3 linked regions of the Rattus norvegicus genome follow. The protein of the gene in region 2 interacts with the protein of the main gene of each other region in a pairwise test. Links are inferred from orthologs where the notes say so. Each region holds a gene or a part of one and is shown on either strand. Other genes may lie near its edges. The genes, in order: Acot7, Camk2b and Ccm2l.

Region 1 (10,572 bases), on a different chromosome or scaffold from region 2:
AGATCTCATTACAGATGATTGTGAGCCACCATGTGGTTGCTGGGAATTGAGCCCAGGACCTCTAGAAGAGCAGACAGTGCTATTAAATCGCTGAGCCATCTCCCCAGTCCCTTTGTTTTGTGTTTAAAGATAGGGTCCTACTATGTCGCCCTGACTGCTCACCAGGAACTATGTAAATCAAGCTGGCCTGGAACTCAGAGATTCCTCAGGCTTCCTATGCCTTGCAAGCGCTGGGATTAGAGCCGAACACTACGAGGCTTGGCTTCCCATTTTTAACTAAGTGAACATATAAACAAACAAACAAACAAACCTAGAATTTATAATAAAAAGCCCTCAGCCTCATCAACCATCAAGAGACTGTTCCCATGCCGGAGATTACATCCCAGAAATTACCTGTGAGATCTGCATTGCAACTCATTCACAACTGTAAGAACCCAAATGTTCATTGGCTGCAGAGAGAAGCCAACTGGAATGTGCAGAAAATGGAGCCTGGTGCCCCCCATGTGAGGGTCCCAGGCATTGTGCTAAGTAGGAAGCCTTCCCCAGGCAACCATAGACTAAACCACGGTGAGGGAAAGCCACCGAGTCACTTGCCAGATGCCGGTCCTGGAGGAAGGAAATAACTGCTACGATTAGATCTGATGAAGACAGTCTGTGTCACAGTCAGATAGTCACCACACAGGTACTCACATCTATCCAAATGCAACAAACTGTGCACACTTATAGTCTCAGAACTTGGGAGATTCAATCGGGAAGATCAGAAGTTCAAGGCCATCCTCCACCACATGTCAAATATGAAACTAGCCTGGGCTACATCAGACTCTGCCTCAAAATGAAAGACAACAAACAAATGCCAATGAACTGCACTGCAAAGCAGAAGAGATGCCCTTCAGACAGAGTGGTTGACAGAGTATGTTGCTCCTATATGGGGACTGCAGCTCCGTGGGACAGCACCAGCTGCCATGCGCAATGCCTGGAGCCTGATGCCCTGCAGAAGGACAAGTGTGCTATAAATATTTTAAGTAAATATTTTTAACAGCAAAGGACAATGTAATAACAACCACGAGGACTGGAGGGATGGTTCAGTGTTAGAAGACTCGTTCCTTCGGAGGACCAGGGTTTGTTTCCCAGTACCCACATGGTAGCTCACAACTACTTGCCTGCGACTCCAGCCCAGGAATCCAATGCTCTCTTCTGGGCCTGCGCACACACATGGCATGAGACATAAATGCAAGCAAAACATCCATACTCATAAAAACCAGCAAACAAATTTTAAATAAGTAAAAGAAGGTGCCATCCATACTCATAAAAGCCAGCAAACAAATTTTAAATAAGAGAAGGTGCCATCCATACTCACAAAAACCAGCAAACAAATTTTAAATAAGTAAGAGGAGGTGCCATCTGGCCTGGACAATACCAGAAAGTTGGCTAGCCTCAGGGCAAGTGCAGTGTGATACTGCGTGACAAAACAGGCTGTAAAATAAGACAGTGACACACTCAGGCATCCTCCGCCACTGGGCTACTCAGAGTGCATCTCCAACAGGGTTCATAAATCCTCCCAGGGGTAGAGCCACACTGTATTTTATGGAACCTTCCAGAACCTGTGTTCTTGTTAATTCTACTTTCAAGCCAAAGACCAAGCTGAAAGGGAGAAAATTCACATCCACTGAACTAACACTGCTGGAGACATTTGCCATCCTCAAATTCCGCTCCCAGAAGCGCTTGGCAGACCAGCAGCTGAGAGCAGGACGAGACAAAGTCTACAGATGTCACACCTTCAGCCCCAAACAGGTCCCTAAGCAATGAAATCCCAGCTCTTGGTTATCATGGGCCTGGGGCAGAGTGCCAAGAGCAAGGCTGGCACAGGCTACTAAGTGTAGCACTGCCTCACAGAAGGACAAAATAGACAAATAACAATAAAACAATGTCTAAAGGGAAGGGGCGGCAACTAAGAGAGAGGACTCCGTGGATGAAGATACTGCCAAGTCTGAAAATCTGGGTTTGAGCCCCAGACGCTGTCTTTGTCGTGACCTCTACACGTGTGCCATGGCACACTCACAGGGACAAGCATGCACATGCACATACCCACATGGGCACGTGCACACACACACACACACACACACACACACACACACACACACACACGCCTGTGCCATCCTGCACCAAGGCCCCTATACCAGCACTCTGTTTGAAGGTTGACTATTTGCACTGCATCGAATGATAGGAGAGGACGATTATTCCGTGGCCTGAGTACCCAAAGATCTGGTTCTCAAAGGCTTCCTTTTGTAAGTTCATGTTGACACAAGCAATAAATGGGACAAAGGTATCTGTCTACACAGTGACCCTAAGATAGGTACTATCATATCTCTAATTTAGAGATAAGAAAATTAGGGTCAAGTGAGATTATGCTGTGAGGTTAAGGCACACAGCAACCTGTAAGAGACAGACCTAGGAATGGAGCCCAGGCTGTCACCTCTTAAGCTGGTGACCCACTTTCCACATAAAGAACACCCATTGATGCTGTGTTCAGGTCAGGTTTTGGGCTTTTTGGTTTGTTTTTTTTTTGTTTTTGTTTTTTGTTTTGTTTTTTTTTTTACTTATTTATTTGTTTTTTGAGAAAGGGTTTCTCTGTGTAGCTCTGGCTGTTCTAGAACTCACTCTGTAGATCAGGCTGGCCTTCAACACAGATATCTGCCTGCCTCTGCCTCCTGAATGCTGGGATTAAAGGCACTATCCTTCCTTGCTCAACTCTTACCCAGTACTCAGACCCAGAAGAGAACAGGACACAGGAATATAAGCAATGGGCTTCCAGGTCACTCAGCTACCAAGGGCAGAGCCACAACCATCCCAAGCCTATGGCCATGGTTACTTTTATCTTTGCAGGGGGTGTATGTGCTGTGTGTGTGTGTAGGTGTGTGCATGCGGGTGTACAATGCCATGATGTATGTATAAGGGTCAGAGAACTACCTTGGGCGTCAGTCCTCACACTGTACCTGGATTGAGACAGGGTTCTTGCTGTTCATTGCAGTAGCAATCATTCTAGCTGGCCCGTGAGCTTCCTTGTCTCCACTCCCAACCCGGCTGCAGGAGCACTGGAGTCACAGGCCCTCACTAACCTGTCTCACTTTACACAGGTCTGACTCGGGTCCTCACAGCAGCAAGCACTTTAGCCCCTGAGCCATCTCCCGCCTCACACCTATCTTTAAAGCTCCTTCAAGCTTCAGAACTGAAAGCAGATGATCTCACTAACAGTCTGGGGTGACAGGCGCATGACACTGTCTCTCTCTTAAGATAAGGACTAAACTTTCCACTGTTCAATGCCCTTCCGGGGCTGGCCTCTTTGGAGGTGTCCTGTGAAGTCCTATTAAATTCATGGCTTAGATGCACCAGGTCAGGAGTCTTGCCTTTCATGGTGCTGGCTCAAATGTCCTTAAAGGGCTCCCCATCCAGCTAGGTCCACTCTGCACTGGTCAAACTCATGTGACCACAGTCTACTGCACCGCTCCACCTCCCTTGGCAGTCATGCTTTGCCCTGAGACGTCTGGGCCAGGACCCCTGGCCATGCACCCTCTGTCACTTAGGGAAAATAAGCAGTTGTGACTCTGACAGCTAGAGGCAGCCCTGTAGAGCACAATAAGAAAAGCCACACACAGGGCATTTGTGAGCACATTAGAGTATCCGAAGCGACATAAATACCCATTAGTTGTTAGAGGCTATGGGAAAGATGGTTGGCCACCAACCATATTGATGAGGTTAAGTAAGAGCCCAGGTGATTTAATCAGTATAACCAGACCTAAGCAGGAGCTAACTCTGAATCTCCTGGGGCTCCGTGGTTTTATTGAGTTTCTCAAATCCCTCCTCCACAAAGCAGGAGGAAGGTCTCTGCCAGTCATCCTCCCAGAAGGTGAGGCCCAAGACCCCCGACACCAATACACAGCATGTGTCAAACAAAGACCCTGTGTTGTCCACATTATCAGGAACATACACCCTGTCCCCAGAGCCCAAGTTGAATGGCCTGGGCAGCCAATAAGGAAGCAAAGGGAGCAGGACTCCCTTAGACAAACACCCCTCTCTAGGGAGTCAGAACTGACCTTGAAGTCAGCGAATGGCCTCTGTAGGGCCAGAAGGTGAGGTTGACAGCAAAGAGCTCCAGTTATCCAGCAGCAGCACCCACAAGACAGGAGCCTGCCTCTGCCTGCTTGAGGCTTAGACGCAAGGTCAGAGTGCTGCCCAGCCTCCAAACTGTGGGTTTGCTCGACCTGTCCCAATGTGATACCCGCTCTCAAAAAAATCTCACTCCTGTCAGTGTGTCAGGCAGAATAGACAACCTGCAGGCACGATCCCCCACCCCCACCTGCCCCTTACTGATCTGCACAGAAGTACTGTGCATGAAACCGCAGGGTAACCTTGAGGCTGCCCTCCCCGCCTTCTTGGGGAAGTGAGCTTGCTCATCAGCACCGGCTTCCTCTGGGGACCCACATCTAAGCAGCACCCCCAATGGAACAAGACTGGGGAGGATGCTTAGACGAGAACAACCTTCACCCCCATTGTGTGAGATGACCCACTCACTCCCTTTCTGAGTCAATAAACGGTTTGAATGGATGAGTTCTTCCTTCTAACACCTGCTCTCCTCACAACCGAGGCGGGGCTCTAAAGGAACACTGGGTCTGGGGCCTGCTCTCACAGAGGCTCGCACCCATGTGTGCTCCCAATGCACTGGGCATGTTCCCCACCACCCTCTAGAGCCTAAGTTATCCTTTCCGAATCCCGCAGGAGGTTTGGGCTCGGACTACAAGGCGCGGAGCCCGGGGTGGGGCAAGCCCTGTAGGACGCACAAGAGAACGGAGGACAGATCCCTCTGCCAGTTGCCCAGTGCCAGGGTCCCTTGCCCGGATTCCTACATCAAGAGTCCTCAGAACTGCGGCCGCCGCCCTTGGGATGCAGCCAGAGGCCGGTGGGAGGAGCCCGCAAGGCGGCCCGGATCTGCAGCATGGCGGGGAGCATCCCGGAGGAGGGCACGGGGAATGGGGGTGTTGTCCAGGGTGGGATCCAGGAGAGGAATCCAGGGAGGGGTCCTGGGAGAGAATCCTGGGCCTGAGTCCAGTGGAGGGGTCCAGGGTGGGTTCCAGGGCCTGGACCCCGGGAGCGTGGAGCCGGGCAGGGCCGCTCCGGATGAAGGCAGCATCCTTGTGAGCCTATAGCATCGCCTCAGCGGGCTCAGGCGCGAGCGAGCGGGGAAGGGTCGGCTTGGCCCGCAAGCCTCCGTCTTACCGGCAGATCTGGATGGCGGCCGGCGTGTCGGTGGTGGGACCGGACATCTTGGCTGCGACGGCGGGCGGCGGCGGCGACGGCGGCGGCGGGATCTGAGAACAGGTGTCCAGCAGGCCCGGCGCCGAATGAATGAGCCTGGGAGGCGCCATAAAAGAGGAGGGAAGAGGCGGGGCCGTGTCGCCAGAGAGGCGGGGCCTGCGCAGAGGAGGCGAATCACAGGCGGCCGCCCCTTGGGGGCCCCGCCCTCGCGCGGGCCCCGCCCCGCCCCCATGCCCAGAGGCCTCCACGGCCGCAGGCGCTCGCGGAGGCGGCGAGTTCTGTCGGCGGCGGGGGCGGCTGTGGGACTCCGCTTCCAGAAGGTTCGGTGGCAGTTGGGTGGCGCGCGCAGCGCAGCGCACGCGCCAGCGCGGAGCAGGCGAGCGGCCTGCGGCGGACACCACGCAGGCCGGAGGCCCGGTCGTGGAGCGTCCCCGGGGCGTGTGCGTGCGTGGCTTCGGTGGCAGCCGGGAGTCTACGGGGCGTTCCCGTGCGCCGGCGTGGCGATTCGCTACCGACCGGGGCCGGCCACCCGATGAGGTCACCGCGGGGAGGCCGGACCGGGACGGGCACGGCGCCGAGAGCCGCGTACCGACCCCTGCGCCCGGCCTTGACTTCACCCGGGCCTACAGCGCGTGGTGCCGAGTGTCAACCCTTTACCCGGATGGCTGCAGACGGGGAGCCCGGTCGACCTCTGACCCCTATTGGCCTCATAATCCCCCTCACTGCCTCACTGCCTCACTGCCTCACTGATCTCCAGAAAGACACCCGGAGAGCCCCAAGTACAAGCTGGGTGCACCTGCTGCCCAGGAGCTGCTGCTGGTTTCTGCTTTGCCTTTAAATCAAGTCCAAGTTTCAGGCCACAGAAGCCACCAAAGAAGAGAAATGTTGTCACCCTGTATCTACTGTATTGCAGAGAGCCTCTGCCCCTCCATGCGGTACCCAAGAAAGGTAACCCCATCTATTAACAGAACTTGGGTCCATTTACTCTAAAGCCTAAAGCTATCACCCCTGCAACACCAGTTTTCCAGCAGGAGATGAAGCTTGGTACACAGGCCTTGCCTGGTGGGCACATGCTACACACACCAGCCTCCCCTGAGACCTCACAATTATTATTCAAAGAATTCAGTTTTTAGAACCGGGAGCAGAGTGTTAGTGGCTTCCACCCTGTGTTCTCTTAGCATTTCAATACGAATTAAGCAAGCCCTCCAGAGTTTATGACCTGTTTAAATATCACCATCTCCCCTTACAGCAGCAGTTCTCAGTCTGTGGGTCGAATCGGGGCTCAAACCACCTAAGACCATATAGGAAAACACGGATACTTACATTATGATTCATAACAGTAGCAAAGATATGGTTATGAAGCAGCAACGAAAATAATTCTATGGCTAGGGGGATCACCACAACATGAGGAACTGTACTAAAGGGTCACAGCGTTAGGAAGGTGGAGAACCACAGCCTTACAAGGTCTAGATCTAGGAGGAAGCTGCGGCTAAGCAAAGAGCTTTTCCTATTTACTAACGGTCTGAAAAGAGCTGCCAAACATAAGTGACCTCATGAACATCCAGGGCCAGGATATTACAATAGAATACTGCACAGGATAATACAAAAGAAAGGCTTCCTGGCTGCGAAGATTGCTCTTCAGTACCTGCTGTTTGTGTAGAGGACCTACACGACATTCCCAGCACTCACAGGGTGATTCACAACCGTCTATAAGTCTAGAGCCAAGGGATCCGATGCCTCTTACCTTTTTGGTCTCCTGCACACACATGGTGCATCCCAAAAAAATTTTTTAGAAATGCTATTAGGATGTTGTGACATGCAAAATAGCATAGTGTACAATGCCACTTATAAAAGATATTAGAACTAGGGTTGTCTGGGAAGAACAGACTGGAAAGAGGTCTGAGAGAAGTCAGAGGTGGTGGTCCACGGTTTTTCTAGGGTTTATTTGTCCAGTGTACTGGCTGGTTTTGTGTGTCAACTTGACATGAGCTGGAGTTAATCACAGAGAAAGGAGCCTCCCTTGAGGAAATGCCTCCCTGAGACCCAGCTGTAAGGCATTTTCTCAATCAGTGATCAAGGGGGTAGGACCCATTGTGGGTGGTGCCATCCCTGGGCTGGTGGTCCTGGGTTCTATAAGAAAGCAAGCTGAGCAAGCCAGGGGAAGCAAGACAGTAAGTAACATCCCCCCATGGCCTCTGCATCAGCTCCTGCTTCCTGACCTGCTCGAGTTCCTGTCCTGACTTCCTTTGGTGATGAACAGCAATGTGGAAGTGTAAGCTGAATAAACCCTTTCCTCCTCAACTTGTTTCTTGGTCATGATGTTTGTGCAGGAATAGAAACCCTGACTAAGACATGGAGGTTCTATAGAGTAATGGAACTCTTGAAGTGAATCTCTCTATATACAGAACGGGGATTTTGCGGGGGAGTTCCAACAGTGAACAGAAAGTCCAGCATCAAGTAGTTTGTCCTCCACAAGGCTAGATGTCCCTGCTGGTCTTCAGTATAAGCCTGAGACACACAATACACCTGAAATAGTAATTTGTGAAGGGATTTGTTGTAACCCAACAACCCAGCTGCCGGGATGGGGGTTACATGGGTGGTCTGTCCACTGATGGCCGGCTGCACAAGAACCATCTGCCTCTCCATGTAACTGCTCATTCTGGGAAACCGGGTGTCTCAGCTGTCCAACTTAAAGCTGCTAGTCTTCGGTCCACATTGGAAGGCTGAGGACACTGGCGTCTGATGTCACTGGAGGGTGGCAGCAGCAGCAGCAGACGCCCTCCCTTGGGTAGAAGTGAAGACTGAGTCAGGCCACACTATCCCCACCCCCACCCCCCGGACCATCCAGACTTCCTGTTGGAATGCCCGAAGCTCACACGTATGTCTCCAACACTGGTTCTGAATCCCATCAAGGTGACAATTAGGATCAACACATGCTTAGCCACATTAAAGAGGAGCCTTACGTGTGTGTGCACATGCGTGTGCATGCCCATGTGGGAGCACGGGTGGACTGATAGGGCTCAAACCTACCATGCCAAGTGTCAGACGAGCCCTCTACCACCAAATTCTACTTAACAGCCAATAAATAAATAAATCGTTGTAGGCTAAAGATTTGGTCCTTGTGTCAGTTTGAATTCATAACTTTTCTGCCCTATGTTGTTGTAAAAATATAAAAAGTATGTTGTCTTTTACCTCACTTAGGTCCGGCACCTCAATGCCCCAAGATATCTGCTAGATATCTTGGCGGAAACAAATCCCAACTCCTCGGCGGCCCAGTGTCTCCTGCCGCTGCACACTTTGCTACACTCAAACCGTCACATAAAAGAACACACAACACAATAACCTTTGACCCAGTTGATAAGATATAATTGCCCACTTAAACATACAAAGCCCGGTACCATCCATCCCTTAGGAACATTGATAACAACCTGTAAATACACAGAGCAGAATCTTAACGTCAGCCTCCATTGTCCTGCCACGGCTTTTTTCACTCTCCCTCCTGTCTCTTCTCCTCTCTATTCCAGTCTCCTCCTCTTCCTTCAAACTTTTCTCCCACCCATCCTTCCTTCTCTTCCAATGACAGGCCTCCTTCTATCCTGTACCTGCCCCTCACCTGTACTTTACAAATTCAATGGGGAGAAGGTTCTGGTGAAGTCACCTGATTCCTGAGTACACTTCTAGGCAGCTGTCTTTGGGGCAGTGGAATTAGCATCAAAATACAGATAACTCCAGGGCAAACCACAAGAACAGACAAGCAAACATGCTGTTCCCTAGGAATGACCAATGTGGCTATGTGACCTGGCCATGTGACCCACTCCTGATCTGAGTGACAGGTAAAGTCCAGGACCCAAGAAGGTATTCCAGGGATGCGTCCAACTTGCTTCTATCTTTGTATGGGGTACAGTACCTCTAAGAGCCTAAAGGAGCCAGCCTGGGCCCCTTGGGGAGACCTGTTGGGGAGTCCTTAAGGCCCTGTTGGGGAGCCGAACACACTGAAGAGTCAGAAGACCCTCCGGGACTGAGACAACACCAAAGACAGGGGTAACATAGTACAGAACTAAGATGAGCCACACTGTGTGGCCTTCAGTGAGCTCTCTGCTACGTGTACCTCAACTCCTCCATGAGTAGAGAGAACAGAGGACCTACCCATAGGACGGTAGTAAGGCCTAGACACGTGGGCATTTTTAGGTGCTTGGAAAGGGACCTGGTACAGAGAAACTATGGGTCTATGTGAGCCTGCTGGTAAACTTGGCTGCTCCAATGTCTGGAGCCACTGGGATGTTGAAGGGATTCAAACAGCCTAGGGCCAGAAGACCCTGCCAGATCCTGCCTGATTCAAGCCGACATTCAAAGGGAGAAAGAGTGCTGCAGGTTGGGGTTGGGGATTTAGCTCGCAAGGTCCTGGGTTCGGTCCCCAGCTCCGAAAAAAAGAAAAGAAAAAAAAAAGGGGGGGAGGTTGGGGATTTAGCTCAGTGGTAGAGCGCTTGCCTAGGAAGCGCAAGGCCCTGGGTTCGGTCCCAGCTCCGAAAAAAAGAACAAAAAAAAAAAAAAAAAAAGGTGCTACAGGTTCCCCAGGACCTGACATGTCCTCAGTGTCCGAGAACGCAGCAGCCAGCAGAAGGACACTCGGGAGTAAACACAGGTATTTCACACACCTGTCCTAGCGAGGGTGTTTGCGTCTGAGGTAAGAGTTCCGCACAGAGGAAGTTCTGAGAACACTTCTCTCCACTCTCCCTTTCTCGGGTGTCCAGCTGCTTGTGTACACATTACAAGGAGCCCCGGGGCACACCAGTCAGGTTGGGATCTGTGCAGCTTCTATGACATCTGTTTACTTTGTCCTTGGATCATTCATCCGAGAACCTGCTGCGCGTCCTCAGGCTGGGACAGTGAGCTGGCCACTTCCACTTTCAGGAGCTCAAGGTAACAGGCAGAACACGGCTGAGCTGTGCGACAGACGAGTAAATTAGACTGAAGAGTTCACTGACTCGCTCACAGGCAGACCCTGCCGTGCCTTTTCTACTTGGAGAAGATGGATGCTTCCAGACCGTGCCTCCTGTTCACAGCACTTCGTGGGCAAGCCTCAGCGTGGGCCATCCACCCCCCACACACACTGCTGCTGGGAGGGAAGAGCCCACTCTCATGTCATCCAGCTCCTAACTTAACCTTGAGAGTCACATGCCCTGTCCCAAGCACAAACCACTCTGAGAAACCGAAGACCAATAAAGGACTCCTTTGAGACATGCACTGTGGTGGTCGGAATAT
Region 2 (10,037 bases):
ACGTGGGACTGGTTTGGTCAGAGACAGGCAGAGTCTCACCAGACCCTGCCTCACAGGGCCTCTCTTGACAGTGACATGAGCAGGGGCAGGGGTCAGTACCAGGGCGGCAGGAGGGAGGGATCCTTTGGGGCTGGTGATGGCCGAGCTGTTTTTGGTGCTGTTTGTCTGGGGCTGTGGAGAGAAGGATAAAGAGTTGTTAGGGAAGAAAGGGTACCCTCCCTAGTCAGGCCTCCGTTGGGTAAAGCCAGAACCTTGGGGTCAGCAGCAGAGCTCCAGGTTCTGCTTTCCTTCCCTGTACCCCACAAAGGGCTTGGCTGGGGGTCTCACCTTGACTCCGTCTGCTTTCTTGTTGAGTAAACTCTTGGCTGCTGCATTGGGAAAGAAGGAAGGAAGGATCGTGAGTTCCTAGGGCCTAAGATCACTGTAGCTCCCACCCCTTCCCCCACCCCCTTCCCTCTCTTCAGGAGCAAAGCTCAGGTCCTGAGGCCAGAGGCAGGTGTGGCCTTGGCACATGGCCTGGCCCTAGCAGCTGCAGAACCCCAGGGTTGCTGAGTCCAGCTGCTTGGGGTGGGGGGAGCCTCATCCAGAACCACCCTGCCCCCAGCATCTTCAATGGTTCAGGAGCCTCCTTGTCCCGTGCCTATGACTCCTGAAGGGCAGGCGGGATGATCTGCCCTGCCTCCCATTTCCCTGGACGGCGCCAGATCAGGACCGGAAGGCATGAGAATGCAAAATGAAAGGCATGCTCAACCTGGCCCTGCCCTCTGCACTTCTGTGTTCTCACTAGGATGGTGAGCCAAAGCTGGCTGTCATGCCAGAGGGCTTCACCCAGCCCCCACCCTCCGCCTTCGGAGGGCCAACAAACATCTGCCCCAGGGCTACACCGCTTGGCCTCCCTGTCCTCTCCTTGAATGGCCCAGCAGCCCTTGCCGTGGGACTACTTCTTGGTGGCCATGACGGAGGCCAACACCAACCACTTTGCCCATGAGCCCTGGCAGACACCTGGGCCCAGGAAATGGAACCCTTGGTTTCAACACTCCCCTCGGAGAGCAGGACGGTCCTGCCGTTGCCCCACCCTTTAGCCCCAGAACTTGCACCCACTAGAGCAGAGCTTAGAGTTTTCATTACAGAATTAAAACAGTAAAAAAAAAAAAAAAAATAGAGAGTGAGAGAGAAGGTCAGCTTACCTTACAGAAAAGGAAAGATGAGGAGAGGAGGGAGTGAAGGAAGAGAGGAGGAGAGAGAAAACAAGATTTGTGTTGGTTCAGAAAGGCCCCCACAAGGCAGCAAAGCCAGCCTGTCCCCAAGAAGAGCCAAGTGGCCACTTGGCCAACACAGCAGGTTAAGGCAGTCATGGCTGGCATAGCACAGGGAGCATGGTACGCAGTTCCTTGTCTCCAAAGCCCTTACCCACAAATCCTGTACACTAGACATTGGCTGACCATACCTAACCTCAGCCTCTCCTGCCTACTAGTGGGGAGCCTACAGCGGGCATGGTGGGGACTTGGGGACAGCACATTTAGTCCTGGGGCTGTAACCTAGTCAAACATGGTCTTCTGCCATAGCAGCGCCACTGCTGTGATCAGAAACGCAAACTTGCAGGCCACAGAGTAAGAACTCTGAAGGGTTCTGCGTGCCCATACCTCTGAGGGCAGTTCTTTTCAGAGCCCAGACTTGGGCACTACTGCTGCCTCCTGACTACCTCCCTCCCTAGCCAGATGACGCACTTTGAGCCCCTTACCTCCACCAGGCTCTGTATGCTGGGACATGGGGACATGGCAACTGAAACCACATACCATCTTGGAACCTGAATGCTTTTGGAGTACCTCTGTGGCGGGCACTGGTTCCCGACAGCCATCCTCCATCATGGTTTTGGTGCTTGTCTCATAAATTCTGTCACAAGCGGGTCTCTCTGAAGCGAAGCTGCCCTCCACATGTCATCTACAGACTTGGGGCTCCCTAGACCTTCAATCCCAGGGTAGCCCCAAGGGGTGTTCCTAGGGCTAAATGCTGACTTCCCATTTCTTTATAGAGTGGACTTTGAAACATCTCTGGTGTGTCTCGAGACACTCCCTGGAGTTGCCCAGCATAGCCCTCCTCCTTGTCTATGGCTCACTCTCCTCCATCTTCCTCCATCGTCATCCCTAGAGACCTGCATTGCTCGCCCAGGCAGCACGGGCTTCTGTGGCACAGGAACTGCTAAGGGTGAATTGCTGCTCTCAACCGACACTTGAGACTGGCAGAGCTGGGAGATGGGACCCTCCCTGGAGCCCAAGGAAGTAGGACTGTCCTGCTTTGAGGGTACTTGTTATGGCTTTCTGGGCAGTAGGGGAAGACGGACATTTCTAAGAGGTGGCAATTTCAACAGGTTCAACAGTCTGCAGAAGGTGGGCTTGATTTCCCCCCACCCCCGCCCCAGCAGGCCATACAGCCAACCCAGCCTGTCCCCTGTTGGATTCTGTGTTAGAACCTAGGGAAAGCCATTATTGGTCTGAGATTCGGTAGTGGCGTTTCACTATCCCTCAGACATCCTTGGAGGGTTCTCACGGGGAAAGACACACTGGAAGGGTTGGGCCTGCTTCGATCCCAGGACTGTCTTTGATCTTAAAAGGGTTCCATTTAAGCCCTCAAGTCTATCAAAACCACAGTTCCGGGCTGTGTTACTAGGAATGGTATCTGTGGTTTATTGGGGGGTGAACACATTATTACCAAGCCGGCCATAGCACACTTGGACCCAGATGAGCCATGCCTATAGCTCAGACCTAGAAAACTCAGGCAGACATCAACTTTACTTCAGCACTTCCTGTTCCTCTCACCGATAACCTATATAGCCTAGACACATGGGTGCATGGCCCAGCCTCCTTGGTTGCATGGGCTCTGGCCGTCGCTTCCTGGAGACTGGCTTTCTCCAGCTCCCCTATCTGCCCTGGATTAACTATGGCTCCCTGCAGCCAGGAACCTGCATACTCCACTCATACAGGAGAAGCCACTTCTGCGGTGTCTCGAGTCAAAAGGATTTAGAAGGTGCAGCCGGAGCCAAAGTGGACTAAACAAACATGGTGGGGGAGGGGGGATTCCAGATACTTAGAGTTGGGGGCTCTTCAGATCTGTACTCCCAACTCAGGAGGAGGGCATTTTCCATTTCCAGGTCTCAGGCCAAGCCATTACCTCCAGCCCACAGCCAGCCAGCCTGACAGTCACAAGGCACCTTACTGCGCATGTCTGCTCAATGGGGGCGGGGTGGTGGGAGCCAAAGTGCAAAAACGCTCTACAGCAAGGGTCTACAGCTGTCAAGGTGCTCGGACAGAATCACGGAGAAGGAAGACCCCCAATGTGTGCCCTTCGTGTGTGGTTGGGCTGGGCCGACCTAACGGAGTAGATGGGACCTTCAGCTCTGCCTTGCTCTCTCTCTCTAGTCACCGTGGACAGCCATGCCGAGCTTTGTTGACATGCACTGACCTCCCTCCAGGACAGAGGGACCCTCAGCTCCTGGGGCAGAACCACAACATGCAGGCAGCCTCATGCAAGGTTGCCCCGGCTCACTTGCAGGCAGGCGAGCATTGCAGCAGAAGTCCTGGGCGGAGCATGGCTCAGAGGTGACCTGTCTCACGCCACTGTCCCCTGGCAATAGGGCCGCCCTGACAGCCGCTAGCTTTATATAATTACTTGGGAGCGTCTACAACGGGCCCCTGTGGGCAGAACAGACAAGCCTAGGGTGACCTAAGCATCCCCCAGGAGGAGGATCCTCTAGTAGGTGATCATTGCTGTGGTCCTAGTGGTGTTGTGAGGTGGGTGTGGGCAGGCGTGTGGAAAGGGCTGGTCCTCAGCTGGCTGGGAAACCCGTGCTCGATCCTCAGCTGACTCTCAAGGCTTTAGGAGAAGCTGAAGCTTGGCTTGGGTCTATGTGTTCAGTGGCGACTCGAACCTTGTGCTGCTGGCTGGCATTCAGTTTGGGTGGTGACTACGGACCCCGTGGTGAGGGCTCTGGGTCACTGAGCCCTCAGAAGGTCTCACACCATCAAAGGGACAGATTGATGGAGGTTACCTCCTCCCCTAAGGGAGTTCGGGACCAAGTAAGAAGGGTCTTCAGAAAGAACCCTTCAGTTCCAGACACTGATAGCACCCCACTTTCACTCTGAGGAATTGTAGCACAGACCACCAGACCCTTGGGCCCTACAGATCCTTGGGACATGTCTCTATCCCCAAGCCCTGATCCAAGGGCTCCCCTTTCAGGGCTGATACCCTCCAGCAGCAGGCTTAGTGGCTCCTGTGAGATCAGGGTCACTCTGAATTGGGTCTCCAGACATCCAGAGGCAGAACCAAGGGTCTCAGGCAAATGCATCTGGGATTTGATGTGACCTCTCTCTTACAGATGATGAGACAAGAGTGAGGGGCAGCCTTATTGCCCAGGGCAGGGCTTCAGCTGGGATGTGACAGGAGCAGAGCTCCCAGGGGACTGCCTGCCTCCGGGGAGGCTCTGGGGGTCTGGCCAGTGGCTGCGTGCAGCAGGGGGGCTGCATGCCAACAGGAGGGATGGGCAGGAGCGGGTGGACACTGGGCAAGACACATCTACCTTGTTCCACCAGCCCCATGGTGGTGCCGGAGGCCGCGGTGGACATTGTGGCCGGAGCGGTGGTCTGTCTGCCCACTGTTAGCACCGGGTTAGAGACGAGGGGGGGAAGGGGGCGGACACAGACGTGGGGAAGGGCGAGGTGAGGAAAGAGAAGAGACAAAGGAAGCAGAAGAAGATTAGAGTTAAAGTTTAGGTAGGGGATGGCTCCAGAATCCCTTTCTCAGGATAGTGAAACAAGACTGGGCCGATAGACACTGGAAAGCATTTGCCTCCTTTCTCCTTAGAACACCCCAGTGGGGCTTCTTGTGCCCTGTGGGGCATGCGGGGCACACAGCAGACAGGACAGTCCCATTAGTGTTGATGTGACTGTGTGCCCATTCCCGGCAGTACAGCATCACAGCAAAGTAACAGGAGGCAGGGTACCAGATGCAGACGCACAAGGAGAGACGACCATGAACGCTCGCACATAGTGTCAGACGACGAAGAAGCCACAGACATAGCTGTCCGGGCACTGGGGCCAACACTGTCCCCCCACGCGGGCCCCATGGGTCTCTAACAGACCCTTGAGACTTCATTTTCCCATCACCCACCCAAACAACCAGGGTAGGCGGCCCACTTACAAGTCACCCCGTGCGCGGACCTCAATCTCATCCACCCCCACTTCGGCTGTCTCCCACACACAACACGATGCTCAGAGAACTGAGGACAAGGAGGCCACAGGGCTGCCCAACAGATGCTTGGACGGATACAGGTGGCAGGCCAGGTGTTGGCAGCACAGACACTGGGGTGTCAAGTAAGGGACACAGACCCAACGACACGGAGGAGGCAGGACTGGGGCATAGCAGACCTCAGTAGCTACCCAACGAGAAAAGCCAAAAGGCCTTCTGGGTAGAGGATCTTAGAGGTGAGGACAGAAACTGGGCCCCCGCCAGCCTGGAGGAAAGGGGCGGGGGGGCCGATGAAGAAGGAGGGGGCTTTCTGTAGAACGAGGGTGGGACTCAAACACCGTCTTCCCTGGAGAAGAATGTCTCACCTGAGAAATTCCGTGTGGCCAGCATAGTGGTGAGGATGGCTCCCTAAGGAGAAACAGAGACAGGGCCACCCTGTTAGTGTCTGCTTCTGTCCCCCCTGCTCGGTCTCCCAGAGAAGTAAGAATTCCAGAGCCTGGCAGCTGCACTGAGGGAAGCCACACGCCCATAGCTAAGGCTCATGCTACCCATAAATCACAGCGTCAAGACTCCTGAGAAGTGAGCATGGCCAGGAAGGCCTGCCACCATGACAGCTAGCCCAGTGGTTCTTGAACTTCCTAAATGCTGTGACACCCCAAGGTAGTTCCTCATGTCCTGGTGACCTTCCACCATAAAGTTATCTCGTTACTACTTCATAACTGTGATTCTGCTACTGTTACATTATGAAGGTTTTGCAGGGTATCTCGACCCTTGAGTTGAGAACCACTCCTTTAACGGGCCCAGGGAAGCCAGGGCTGCCCTTGGGGCTTTGGGGAAGCTCAATTGAGCAATGGTTCCCAGGGCTAACCCTGTCCTTAGCTGGCCAGCAACTCTCAGGATCAGGCCTGTCCGCCTGCCTCTCTAACCTGCTGGGCCCACCAGGCCCTTCTGCTCTGCCCTTTACTGAACCTGCTCTGGGCCAGCACTCCTTCAGCCCTCAGGATGCTCTGCACTCAGGGCCAAGCTCGCCCCTCTGAGCTGTCCCAGAATCTGGAATCCTCTGATCTGGACTCGTGAACAGGCATGGATTTGGGGGGTTTCTCCTGCTTCCTCTTTTGAAGGCCCCACTAACACCCCTACTTCCAGCATGGGGCCCCCCCAGGATGCAGGGATGGGGTCTGAGTCCTGCCTACCTTGAGCTTCCTCCTTGCATTGAACTTCTTCAGACATTCCACAGTCTCCTGTCTGTGCATCATGGAGGCCACCGTGGATCGTTGCTGTTGGGAGAAGGGAAGTCGCAGGGCAGTGAGGATCTACAGAAGTATCAGCCTTGCCTCCAGAGGGGGAACCAAGGAGGCTTAGGAGAGGGGTTCAGGGTGATGGCACTCTAGGGCCAGCCACCACAACAGCGAGAGATCACTTGTTCCCACCTGCTGTCCCCAACCTATTTCCAAGTTCAAGAGTCTTGTCCTTCACAGATCAGGGGAGTGGTCGGACACAAGGAACAGAAGCCCGGGGCCATCTTAGGGGCCCTGGATAGACCCACCAGGAACTGGCCCCTAGAGGTTGCCAAGGACGACTTACGCAGACCCATGGGTGCTTCAGGGCCTCGTGGGCCGTGATGCGCTTGGCGGGGTTGATGGTCAACATCTGGTTGATGAGGTTTTTGGCTTCAGGGGTAACGGTGTCCCACTCGGGGGATGGGAACTACAGAAGGAAGTGGGGCACAGGGCAAGGCTGAAGCCCCTCCCCTGGGGCAAACACCCCTGAAGAGGAGGGAAGACCCAGGCCGTGGCGGTCCCCGCCCTCCACACCCGGCGCTCACTCACGTCATAGGCCCCAGCCTTGATCTGCTGGTACAGCTTGTGCTGGTCCTCATCCCAGAAAGGTGGGTATCCCACCAGCAGGATATACAGGATCACCCCTGTGGATGTGGAGGTGAGCAGCATAGCCCTGGGAGGCACCAGGGTCAGTCCTCAGTGTGCCTTTGCGCCCCTCCGCCATGGGGAGGATGACACAAACAGTATCTGCTCCCTGCTCTGTCTCCGCTTTACTAGGGAGCCTGGCCGACCTCCTCTGCTGTATCCCCACCAGAAAGAGAAGAGCCCACCTAAGGAGCCACCTCGCCCTGTGGTCTGACAGCCCCAGGTCCCTGTATCCTGGTGTCCACTTGCTCTGGGCACAGACCTATACTGAGCACAGGCAGACAAACACAGTGGGCCAGAGCGCATGGGTAAATGTAGTCACAGTGTGAGAGCCTTGCTGAGGCAGCCCAAAGGCAGGTAGGACACACGTACTTGGCTCAGGGCAGGAGAAGCCAGCCAGCCACCTGTACACTGCAGGGCAGAGGGAATGATCCCAGAGACACTACCACACGCTCACCATGCAACCCAGCCACCTCTCACACACAGGTCTTACCACATGCCCAGATATCCACTGGTTTGCCATAGGCCTCCTTCCGAAGAACTTCGGGAGACAGGTAGCCTGGTGTTCCCGCAAATCCTATCGAAGGGGAAGGGACCATGAAGGGCCATGAGGAGCTGCCAGTACCCCCTGCCCGCCCCCTGACACTCACCAAACCATGCCTGCTGGTCTCCCTGAACCTCGATGGCCAGGCCGAAGTCTGCCAGTTTCACTGCGGCCCCTTTGCATTTGCTGGCCAGGAGCAGGTTTTCAGGCTACGGGGAGAGAGCCATCAGGGCACAGCGTTCACACCACGAGCAGTTGCGAGGGGCCGGGGACAAGAGACGGCAGCAGTTTGCCGGACAGGGAGGATGCTGTGCCTCCCGACATGGGTGTTCTAGACCTAGAGCTCCATTCCTCTCTGGGGACTAGGACAGCAGCCCCAGTCACTGTAATGGGAGTTGGCTCTCAGTTTGAACTGGGAGACCCTGCTTCCTAAAATAGGAATGAAATCTCCAGTTCACTCTCACAGACAACTGCAACGATTCCAGTATGGGGCTGCAGGGCTGCCCCCCTGATAGAGGCCAGTCTTGCCCCTCTCCTTTCTGACATGGTAGAGAGTCCAGGGGCTTGGGCAATGGTCTTCATAGAACATGGAGGAACACCCAAGCTCTACCCAGCCCCAGTTAGTGCTATTACACGAGACAGAAAGGAGCCATGGGCGCTTGGATGTCTGCATCTGCAGGTGGGAAAAGCATCCTCCTGGAGAATCATTCTGGCTTCATCTGGAAGGACATTTGTTTTGTCCTGAAGAAGTGGCCAGAGAGGCCGTTGTCTCTGGGTTGTTGAGGGCCATAAAAGCCCCTATGATATTGCTTCCCTTGGCCTCTCTATCTAACCTCTAACCACAGCAGCCTGTCCGGCAGCTCCCAAGGATCGGGTCTCTGGTCCAGCACTCAGCAGGAAGTTCCTGGCTTCTGACCACCCGGAGGTTCCTCAGCTCTCAGGTCCCCTTGGTGAGTTCATAGGCGCCCTCGCCACCCACAGAGGCACCTCACTCCTGAGAACAGACCACAACCTGCCACACAGCCTGCTTTTGTCATCCACCTCAGAGACTTTACAAGGCTTAATGTGACTCCTGGGACCGAAGTTTGCCCAACCACCTACAGAGAAAGATGTGGGCTTCCTGAGGTGGGTGCCCTGAGCCCATGGCAGACTGGAGCCTCACAAGAGCTCTTGCTGTGGGTGTGAAGTAAGCAAGCTTGAAAGCTGCAGAGTTCCTAGGACTCCCTCCCCTCTGGTGATAGATAGGCAGGGGTCACACTCAGCCTGGCCTGGGGTCACACTCAGCCTGGCCCATTTTCATTTTGCCATCGTGAGCATGGCAGGGACCCTGAGCATTCTCCTCCAACATTGAAAACTGTCAGTCACATGGGAACTCTAGAAAGTGCAAGGCAAGAATGTCTGGGGCCTGGAGGAGGCAGCAGTCAGGCCACAGAGGCTGAGCTGCACCCTGGCTTCTTCACAACCACCACCCGAGACACCAGCTACACATGCTCTCTCCTGCCTTGTCTTGACCATGTAGCTTCCACTTAGCATGGTGTCATCTGTGGTTCTGCCTCACCAAGATGTCCTCCAGGAAAGGAGAGACACTGTATTCTCTCAAAAGGAAGATCCTGTTTGCCCAGACCTGGAGACGTGAGGGAAAACATACTTCCGTGCTTTAGCCTCAGCGTTTACTCTCTGCGAGCGTAGTGCCTGCACCCCATGTAATCAGTGACGTATACCCCCGTGTCTCAGGGGCCTTGTACCCAGGTAAGGCAGAGCAGGATGCTTAAGGAAGCAAGGACACATGATGAGATGCAGGGGGCATCCTGGGCCTACTCTGTGTGACACCTTCCCCAGAACAGCTGCAAAGACTGGTCCCTAACCTGTGGCCTAAGAAAGGAGTGGCCATCCCAGTTAGCACTGAGGTTGGCCTTAAAGACATTCAGGCTAGGATTGGCATCTACAGTGTCCCCAAACAGGTGGATTCAGCAAGAGACTGAGCCAGGCCTTAGAAAGGGAGAGATTACAGGGGGGAAGGGGTTGGGGAAGGGGTCTTTAGATAACTCAGAGTCAATTGTTTTCTTCTCATGAGGTGTGTGTAGTAGGGGGCGGGGGGCTCATGTAGACTTGTCACCTTCAAACCTGCTATGTAGCCTAGGCTAGCCTTGGACTTCTGATCCTTTTACCCCAATCTCCTAGGCACCAGGATTAAAGGGATGAGCTGTCACACCAAGCTACAGGCTTTCGTTTGCACAGAGCCTGGAGCCCATAGTCAAGCAAAGGGCATCACAGAATTGGAAAGAGAGACCCGAGAGGAGTCGAGCAAGCCAGTCTGCTCCTGCTCT
Region 3 (9,615 bases), on a different chromosome or scaffold from region 2:
GGTGAGGAGATGAGTTTGGTGTGGTCTCCTAAGGAGTACCCAGTCTAGCCGGCGCTTTCAAGCCTTAAACCTTCCTGGCATTCCTCTGCACCAGCTTCCAGGGCTCTCTCTGAGTAATGAGTGTGTCTGTCTACAGAGAGAGGTGGACAATCCCAGGAAATGCAGCTCAGTGGCTCACAACCCCTGCCTGAGATACCAGCCAGCTCTCCTATCCTGACCCCCTCTCTTACCCTGAGCTCCTTCTTAGAAGCTGGTACCTCCTTCCCTTCCAGCCTCTTAGAGTCGGGGTGGGTCAGGAGTTATCCTCAATCTTTTCTCCTTGTTTCTAGGAGATTTATCCACACTTGTTTCTGGGTGATTTCTACTCTGCTGCCTTCTAAAATCCAGAGAACACCTCTAACCAAATCTTTACTCCTCCTGTCTTTTCCAGGGTCTGTTTGTCATTATGAATGCATTTGTTACAAGCTGAGCCCCCAAGCTCCTCTCAAACACGAAGCGTCTTTGTGTGCACATTTCATTGAATGGCAGCTCCATCCTTGGTGGCTCAGGCTGAAACCTTGCAGTGGTCCTTGGTCTGTCTGTCTCTCTTCTCTGTCTGTCTCTCTCTATCTCTGTCTCTTATATGTGTGTGTGTCTCTCTCTCTTTCAATCTACTCTGTCAATAAATCCACTGGCCTAATTTTTAAGTATATTCAAACCCTATGCCCACACCGTTCCCTGTCCATACCCAGCTCCAACATCTCTCCCTGGGATAACGTTGCCATCCCCCACCCCACTGGCTCAGTCCTTCCTTCCATTCTGTACTTCCCTGCCTCATCCAACACAGCCTCATCCTGGAAACTTTATTAGGGCAATGAGGAAATGGGAAGGGGCATACAGGTGAGCAGGAAAGCTAGGATCACATGGTTCAGGCTGGCTCTGGTAGGAGGTGAGTGGGTTATGTGACAGGGGGTGGAGGAAGAGACCCTGTTTCAACAGGAAAAGTTAGTTTGTATTGTTTAAACTGAAGCAAGGAGAAGAAACAGTCGATAGATCCAGGGGCCTGCAAACCAGACAGGGCCTCGCCTATCCCACTCAGCTGTGGGTTTAAGGCTCCGGTCCTGGCCTGGTGGGAGAATGAATAAGTAAATGAGTTGCTTTCCAAGTGTCTAAGCTTCTGTCCGAGGTACAGTGATCCCACACACAGTGGTCAGAGTTAAACCCCCCAATACCAGCATTAGCTGATGCCTTGGGCCTGTGAGTCCAAACAAGTCACACAACTCCATTAAGCCTCGGAGCACTCAACCATAAAACAAGGATCCTCTCTGACCTGTCTACTCTAGGGTTATAGTAAGGTCTGATCCTGGTTTAAACCGTAGTACCTGCAATGACCACAGATACCCATCCTGAGTTACAGCTTAACATTTACCTTAGGATTTTTAGAGGTGCCAAAAGTCAGGATCTTCATAAGCGTGGCCTTTATCAATCAATGACTGCTTCCTGTGTCTCTTGCTTGAAGAGGCGGATTCCTCCTCAAATGTGCAACCTCCGAAGCTTTGCCTCGGGCCCTCTTCCTCCTACCAGGGACACTATTATTGCTTTGCTCCCACAATTGCGTTGGGCATGGGGCAACCCACAGCCATACCCTGTGCCCAGTAGCAGTAACAGCACTGAGCCTACAATTCTGATTCTTTGAAGTGTTCCTTCTCCTACCGCTCTGGTCTCCACACTGGGCTTCAGGGTCTGTGCCTATACATTTAGTTAAATGAGCCTTTAGGCTAGATGAATTCCATGGTAGGCCATGAATCCCCGGAGACCTGGAATGTACTTTCATGGTAGAGGAGTTTGAGCTGCCTCTAGATTCTGTAAAAGGGTCATAAGAACAAGAGAGGAGCCATATAATTTTGAGGGGACATGTCTTTGAAGTTGGCTTAAGGTGTACGTGTCAGCACAGGCTCTCACTGCATCTGAGGAGGCAGGAGTGCCCTGGGGATAGGTAAGAGCCCGAGTTCTCTTCCTGCCCCTGGACCAGGATGCTGCTGAGGAATCCTGTGCACTCATCTGTCAAGTCTTCCAGATCATCTACGGCGACCAGAGCATCGAGTGTGTAGACCGGGCTGGCTACCACTACAGACCCACACCAAAGCGGCCATGGCTCTCCAGCTGCAGTGAGTATCCAAACTCCCATAAAGCACCGGGAGAGGCTGGATGTCCTGATAGTCAGGGCTGATGGAGGCCTTTAGGGGTTCTGAGGTGGACCCTGGTTCTAGGGGTCCACTTGACAGAGTGTCATCTTCTTGATGACCTCTTCAGAGATGACCACGTTGTCAAGTTTGGGATGAGTTTGAACTTAGGCACTTGAACTTCTCTCTTGTTTTGGGCGTCCCTGCTTTGCAAAGTTCAGCAACTGTACTGTTGGCTAACTGAGCCACCTCACCCCGGGAGATTCCTAGGGCTGACATTTCCAGATTAGTCCATGTATGCAATCAAGGGTTGGAATTAAAGTGAGACTAACAGGGGCATTTATTGAGTGCCTTGTGTGCCAAGCACAATAGCGAAGTGTCAAGTCTTCTCGAGACTTTATGGCGTCCTACCTGTCTTGTTCACTTAGCACAGGAACAGGCACTCCACAGATGCTGGAGAGGTAGCCTTCAGATAAATGGAAACTGCTCAGTCCCCGGGCTGGTGAGATGGCTCAGCGGGGAAAGGTGCCTGCTGCTAATCTTGACAACTTGAGCTCAGTCCTCAAGACTCACAGGGTGGAAGGAGAAACTTTTGAGTTTTCAAAAGTTTTCCTCCGACCTCCCCACGGGCATCATGGCATATGCAAATGCCATCCTGAGCACATTAGCTAATAGTCCCGAGCTTTTGAGACACTGAGGCAGAAGGATCCGAGTTTAAGGTCAGCCGAGCTGCAATGCAGAAACCTGATCTTTATTTTTTTTAAAGCTCTATTTATTATATGTAAATAAACTGTAGCTGTTCAGACACACCAGAAGAGGGCATTGGATCCCATTACAGATGGTTGTGAGCCACCATGTGGTTGCTAGGACTTGAACTCAGGACCTCTGGAAGAACAGTCAGTGCTCTTAACCACTGAGCCATTTCTCCAGCCCCGAAACCTGAAATTTAAAAAAGAAAAAAGATCTAAGCATGGTGGTGACACACATCTTTCATCTCAGCACATGGGCAACAGAGGCAGAAAGATCTCAGAGATCAGTACCAGCCTGATCCACTCCAAGTTCCAGTTGAGCCAGGGCTACACAGAGAAAAAAGGCCTCTCCGAGGCCCTGTGAATCCAGTTTTACAGATAATAAGCATTGAGACTCAGAGTAGTCAATAAATAGTCACAGGCCACAAGGTTGGTAGGTCAGAGGCAGAATCCAAACCCAGTGTGTCTAATTCCAAAGCTTCTGTCTGCAGCGCTCTCTCTGTGTGCTACCCTCAAAGACAGCCATTGTGTGAATTCCCTCCTCCACAGCCTGCTATGGAGTGGTCTCTGTTTGCACAGCTCCAGCAGCTGTGGCACTGGCCTTGTCGTGACTCTGCTACCCGCAGGAGCTGTGCCTGTTGGGAAGCCTCTGCTGGTGACTGTTTGGTTCCCAGGATGCTAAGCAACCAAATGAGAGAACTCGTTCATTCAACCAATGTCGACTGAGTTTTTATTTCTCAGGCCCAGTTATAATCTGTAAGGTATCTTGACGGTAGGCAAACTGAGGCACAGTCTTGCCTTCCTGCGACGTGCATAGAATAAGTAGTCACAGTGATAAATGTCTAACCACAGTGTTATGGGAACCTGTAATGAGGAACTTGCCTCTGAGAAGTCAGAGTGACAGAGTGACCCCCACTGAGCTGACATGAGAAGGCCCTGCCCAGACAGGTGAGGGACCAGGCTGGGGAGGAGCCACATTCTCCATAAATAACGTTGCTTTCCTTTCAAGCTGCTGACTGACTTGCTCTCTGCAGCATTGTCTGCACTGTCTCGTCTAGACACACATTTATCAACACTCTCCCACTGCCTCTCATTTGTCATTCCCCGTGTCCCATCAGATAGGAAGACACTATGGACCTGGGCACTGGGGACAGCAAGGATTGGGGATGACAGTTGCCTGAGGTTAGCTACGTATCAGGGCTGGGCAAGAACCAGATCCCAGGGTGCTGCCAATGTCAGGGGTTCAGGAAGCCTATTGGTGCCTGCACATCATCTCTGACAGTTCTTCCTACTGGTCCCAGGTGAGAGCTGCCGCACCGATGGGACATTTGCCTATGATGCCGACTTGAGCTGCTGCAGTTCCTTGTGAGTACCAGCTTTGTCTGTGATGCCAGCTTTCCCTCCCCACCCCCACCCGGCTCCTCTACAGCGCATGGGGCCCAGGGACCCAACCATGATTTGTATTGAGTCTGGGAGGTAGACAGAGCTCCAGGCTAAACCCTGGGAGACCTAGAGACCTGGGACCACAGAGGTCTTCAAGCCTCCCAGGTTCAGTGGTCTACAGAATCCAAAGTCACAGCTAATGCTAAAAGCTCTGTTGGTATAATAGGAAATCCCGGGGAAGGTAGGTTTACAAAGACAGGATTGGTTTTCTTGTCTTCTTATGCAAAATACAACCAGAGTTTGGGGCCTCCTGGTCCTATTCACCCTGGGCCTCTCTTTCAGTCACAGCTTCCCCTTCACCATCCTCAGAGTGACCTCGTGGTCCAAGCTGTAGCTTCAACCATTCAAGAGCACACCAATGGCCTCTTGAAATAGTTTAGAGAGGATAGGGACCAGGGAATACCACAGTATCACCAGGCAAGCTCACTATGTGAAAAGCCCTGGGTTCCATCCCTGAAGCACATGTGTGTGTGCGTGTGTGTGTGTGTGTGTGTGTGTGTGTTTGTGTGTGTGTGTGTGCTTGTGTGTTTGTGTGTGTTTGTGTGTGTGTTTGTGTGTGTGTGTTTGTGTGTGTGCTTGTGTGTTTGTGTGTGTGTTTGTGTGTGTGTGCTTGTGTGTTTGTGTGTGTTTGTGTGTGTGTGTTTGTGTGTGTGCTTGTGTGTTTGTGTGTGTGCATGTGTGTGTGTTTGTGTGTGTGCTTATGTGTGTGTTTGTGTGTGTGTTTGTGTGTATGCTTGTGTGTGTATGCTTGTGTGTTTGTGTGTGTGCTTGTGTGTGTGTGCTTGTGTGTTTGTGTGTGTGTGCGCTTTTGTGTGTGTGTGTGCGCGCGCGCGCGCACACACACACGCACGCTGTAATGCACGTCATTGGCTTTTGTTAGCTGCTATGTGGCTAGTTATCTGTTATGTGGGGTCTATAGCCTGAAGTGCCTTACATATGATCCTGTCATTTTCACAGTGACACCAATCTTCATCATCTCATTTTACAGATGGAGAAGCTGAAGACTAGGGAAACAAAGTTTAGCAACCCAAGGGTCAAACACAGTAAACGCCATAGACCTGGCCTGCAAGCACAAGCAGGCTGGCATGTGAGCTCAGGAGTCTACACCCTTGCTAGGTCTGTGGTCCCAGCCTTCTGGAGGTGGAAGCCAGAGTGTCAAAAGTTCAAAGCCCAAGCCCAGTGTGGTCATCTTATTTTAAAAGGAGTTAACAATGAGAATTTCCTATGCTGGGTGGGACTGAACCAGAGATGAGAGAGTGTTTGCCTAGGATATGAGAGGCTTTGATTCCAACCCCTGTCACTGCATTAGCCTGGCTTGGTGGTTCAAAACCACCACTCCAGCACTTGGGAGGTTAAAAGCAGGATCAAAAGTTCAAGGCTAACCTTCACTACATAAAGAGTTTAAGGCCATTCTAGGATATGTGAGACCCTCAAAAACGAAACCCTCCACGATGAGCCAGGCAGCCTAATTTATAAAAAGAATTCAACAAGGAGAAAGGAAAGGCCGCACAGTTCAGCACAGGTGGCATCCAGCAGTGATGGATACTACCGTGAAAAGAAGCTTCCCAGGGTATGTAAGAGTCAGAAGGGGACTCTACCTTACCTAGGAGCCAGAGGGGCTTCCCAGAACTGATGACAGTTGAGCTGGTGATAAAAGGGACTGGTCATTCCAGGCAGAGAGAACATCAAGAATTCAGAATAACCAGGTAGTGGTCCTGTGGCTGTGACACTAGATGTGAGAGAGGCAATGGAGGAGAGAAGTCCAGGCAGAGGGAACAGCCTGTGCAAAGGCTCAGGGAGGGATAAGGAAGGGTGACAGGAGTGCCGAGAGCAGGAGGGGGCTTGAGAGGTTGCTGGACTTTGATGAGCCTTGAGCACTGGTATATAAGCCCAACCACCTTCAGCCTAACCTAGGGAAAGCAACAGAGGTTGGTGAGGCTACTTTCCCCTTTTCTCTGCAGCAATGGCTCCCAGGACACATTTGAGGCATGTTACAGTGGCGCGTCCACACCGTCCTTCCACAGCTCCCACTGTAGCAGTATCGACCACAGCAGCTGGGCCTTTGAGCAGCTACAGGATTACATGGTCACGGTGAGCATGCACAGACAGCAGAGCTCTGCAACAAGAATCTTATGTGAGAGCTCAGAGGCCAGGGAAGGAGGTGTGATTAGGAGCTTAGAGAAGCCGTGGCTGGTGTCAGCCTGCACTGAAGGCTCCAAGCACCTCCCCTGTCTTTCATCTCTTCAACAACCTCAAGAAGGAGGCTCCCTCCTTACCCCAAGTGCAGAGAAGGAAAGCAAGGGTCAGGGAGATAATGACCTCCTGCCACCTCAGAGGAGGTCACCAAAGGATTGGGGCTCAGGAAGTGGGACCCATATCCCATTTATCTTAGAGTGTTACTGCTGTGAAGACACACCATGACCAAGGCAACTCGAATAAGGACAACATTTAATTAGGACTGATTCCAGATTCAGAGGTCAGTCCATTATCATCAAGGCAGGAACATGGCAGGATCCAAGCAGGCATGGTGCAGGAGGAGCTGAGAGTTCTACATCTTCATCTGAAGGCTGCTAGCAGAATACTGGCTTCCAGGCAGCTAGGGTGAGGGTCTTAAAGCCTGCACCCATAGTGACACACCTACTCCAACAGGGCTACCTACTCCAACAGGGCCACACCTTCTAACAGTGCCACTCCTTGGGCCAAGCATACACAAACCACTACACCATTCCTAGATGCAAAGACCAGATGTCCCCACCCACCTCAGTGGGCAGTGGAAGATTTTGCAGATGGGCTGGGCCTGACAGGCTGCCAGAGAGAACCTCAGCATATTTAGCAGAAGCCAGGCGTTGTTGCAATCTGGATCTGGTTTCCAAGGGTGTCCCTTACTCCCACAGCTGCGAAGTAAGCTGGGTCCTCCTGAGATCCAGCAGTTTGCGATGCTGCTACGAGACTATCGCCTGGGGCTGCCTATCCAGGACTACTGTGCAGGCCTGCAGAAACTCTATGGGGACCGACGGAAGTTCCTTCTTATTGGTAAGCCCCACTCTGCCTTGGCTCCAGGCATCCCCAGCCAGACACCACCTGGGAGCGCTTTGCTCTTTGAGCCCCTAAGGCCCAAGACTTAGAGAACCTGGACCTGAGAAGGAGAGGAAGAAAGAGTGAAGGAAAGGGAGAGGAATTGCCAGCAAACAGCTGGATGAGCCTAGCCCTAGGGTAGCAAAGCAGGTCAGGATGTGATCAACACACACACACACACACACACACACACACACACACACACACACACACAGCCTATCTTAGCCTCAGAGAGGCAAAGCGACTTGTCTGGAGTCACACAGCTAGTGAAGAGGGTTACTGAGCACCGTAGGAATAATATTGATCACACAGGAGCATGTTTGGCAGTTATCATGAGCCAAGCATGACCTCACAGACTATCCCCATGCCTGAGAAGTAAATATTGCTATCTCGTCACCATTTGGAAGTGAAGAGACTGAGACTCAAAGTAGCAAAGTAAAGAAGTCAAAGGTCCAGAAAGGGACGCAAGTAAATCTGATGTTTATGGGGCACGTCGTGGAAAGTAACTGATTACATTTTCACCAAATCAGGTACGGAAGATCCGTTGTACAGGTGACGAAGGTGAGGTTTGAGTAGTTATTTAACTAAGGTTGTATAGCCAGTAACTGGGAGTATATCCCTAAGAATATATTAAGCTAGCAAACACATGAGGAGTCTTGTGTCATCTGCTGTTTTGAGAGGTAAAAAATTTTGGGTAAAGCTATCCCGGCAGAGACAGGATTTGAACTCGGACTTCCAGAGAGGGCATTCCATAGCAATCTGGCTGGATGCTGGAGTCACTTTGCCCTGTGTCCTCTAGGGATGCGGCCCTTCATCCCAGATCAGGACATCGGCTACTTCGAGGGCTTCCTGGAGAGCATGGGTATCCGCGAGGGTGGAATCCTCACTGACAGCTTCGGCCGCATCAAGCGCAGCATGAGCTCCACGTCTGCGTCTGCCGTGCGCAGTTATGACGGGGCGGCCCAGAGGCCGGAGGAGCAGACCTTCCACCAGCTGCTGACTGACATCACGCATGACATCGAGGCACTGGCCCCGGACGATGACGACGTCTACGAGGATGTCTCCCCAAGCGGGGGCGACCAGGTTGAAGACAACTACCTGTAGCTCCGCGGCACACTTGCCCGTATGACACCATCCCCAGGGTTCCTAGACTCCTGGGTTCCCATCCGTGCCTTGGGGCTTCTTTTCCCTGCAAATGGGTTCACAGGGCTTCAGTCCTTGCAATACCAAGAAAATCCTGTAGAGGGCGGGAGAGCCAGACTCTAGAGTGTTCTTCAAGCTAAAGAATCGCTCCACCTACTGGCCGACAGAAAAGATATCTAATTCACGCCCCACTTTCTGCAACCCTGCCCAACCCCAAACCAGAAACATTTCCAGAACCTAGAGACCTCTCTTCAATTTTACAGGCTGAGAGACTGAAGAGACATGGGGGGGTGTGTTTGTTTGTTTGTTTTTAAGGGAATGGAAATATGAGACAACGCCAGGTCCTTGGATATCGACACTCATCTCCACATCTCTAGGATAATTTCAGCTCCACCCAGCTCACAAGTGGTCATCGGGATGAATGGAGGGCAAGACATTAGGGTTGGGCCTGGCATGCTGTAGGTGCTCAATAAATGCTGTTTCTCTCCACTTGGAATGTTTTTCTGATTCAATGTGCCTGTTGTTCCTGGGAGCGGTGTGTGGAATGAGGTGTTATGAAGACTAGAGGAGTTCACAGCTTGAGAAGAAGAAACAGGACTGGCCTTCACAGTGGTCTTATAGCCTGGCTCTGTGCCCAAACCCCCAAACAAAATGCACTCAGGCCTCTGCAGACAGACAGCCTGGGGCTAATCAAAGAGCTGTGCAGGCAGAGTTGTAAGCTCTGGAGGTCAAGATGAGACCAGTCCTTGGCACAGCCTCAGTGAGGACAGTGAACCTTGAGAGGAGGACAGAGGCCTCTAGAAGAGATCAAATGTGTCTGCAAAACCTTGCTAAGCCTTCCTCGGTCAAACATTTTCAAATCGAGTGATCACTGAGACTTAGAGTTCCAGATTCCCACTGGGACGGTGGCAGATAACTGTTCTCACCCCCACCCCACTCCCAACCCCCGCACCACTCTCAACCCCCGTCACTGGTCCATGCGAGGTTCTCCGGATGTTCTGCTTCATTCCTTGTTTGTCCACAGATTCTACTCCACACCACAA

Evidence for each region.
Region 1: the proteins of Camk2b (region 2) and Acot7 interact in binary tests that used the Homo sapiens proteins (3 or more experiments, as listed by UniProt). The two-hybrid records come from large-scale screens. The link is inferred for Rattus norvegicus from reciprocal best matches to the Homo sapiens genes CAMK2B and ACOT7.
Region 3: the proteins of Camk2b (region 2) and Ccm2l interact in binary tests that used the Homo sapiens proteins (3 or more experiments, as listed by UniProt). The two-hybrid records come from large-scale screens. The link is inferred for Rattus norvegicus from reciprocal best matches to the Homo sapiens genes CAMK2B and CCM2L.

What each region holds. Positions count from the first base shown.
Region 1 is NC_086023.1:167,964,260-167,974,831, reverse strand, and holds the start of Acot7 (cytosolic acyl coenzyme A thioester hydrolase), read right to left. Parts: upstream 5,431-10,572; 5' UTR 5,421-5,430; coding exon 5,272-5,420; intron 1-5,271. UniProt on the Homo sapiens protein: Catalyzes the hydrolysis of acyl-CoAs into free fatty acids and coenzyme A (CoASH), regulating their respective intracellular levels.
Region 2 is NC_086032.1:85,071,526-85,081,562, forward strand, and holds part of Camk2b (calcium/calmodulin-dependent protein kinase type II subunit beta), read right to left. Parts: intron 7,920-10,037; coding exon 7,817-7,919; intron 7,744-7,816; coding exon 7,660-7,743; intron 7,166-7,659; coding exon 7,071-7,165; intron 6,949-7,070; coding exon 6,826-6,948; intron 6,519-6,825; coding exon 6,435-6,518; intron 5,650-6,434; coding exon 5,607-5,649; intron 4,649-5,606; coding exon 4,574-4,648; intron 369-4,573; coding exon of another isoform or gene 366-368; coding exon 328-365; intron 172-327; coding exon 100-171; intron 1-99. UniProt on the Homo sapiens protein: Calcium/calmodulin-dependent protein kinase that functions autonomously after Ca(2+)/calmodulin-binding and autophosphorylation, and is involved in dendritic spine and synapse formation, neuronal plasticity and regulation of sarcoplasmic reticulum Ca(2+) transport in skeletal muscle.
Region 3 is NC_086021.1:162,000,312-162,009,926, forward strand, and holds the end of Ccm2l (cerebral cavernous malformations 2 protein-like), read left to right. Parts: intron 1-2,011; coding exon 2,012-2,147; intron 2,148-3,763; coding exon of another isoform or gene 3,764-3,840; exon of another isoform or gene 3,841-4,212; coding exon 4,213-4,276; intron 4,277-6,315; coding exon 6,316-6,445; intron 6,446-7,248; coding exon 7,249-7,387; intron 7,388-8,228; coding exon 8,229-8,533; 3' UTR 8,534-8,552; exon of another isoform or gene 8,553-8,887; 3' UTR 8,888-9,061; downstream 9,062-9,615.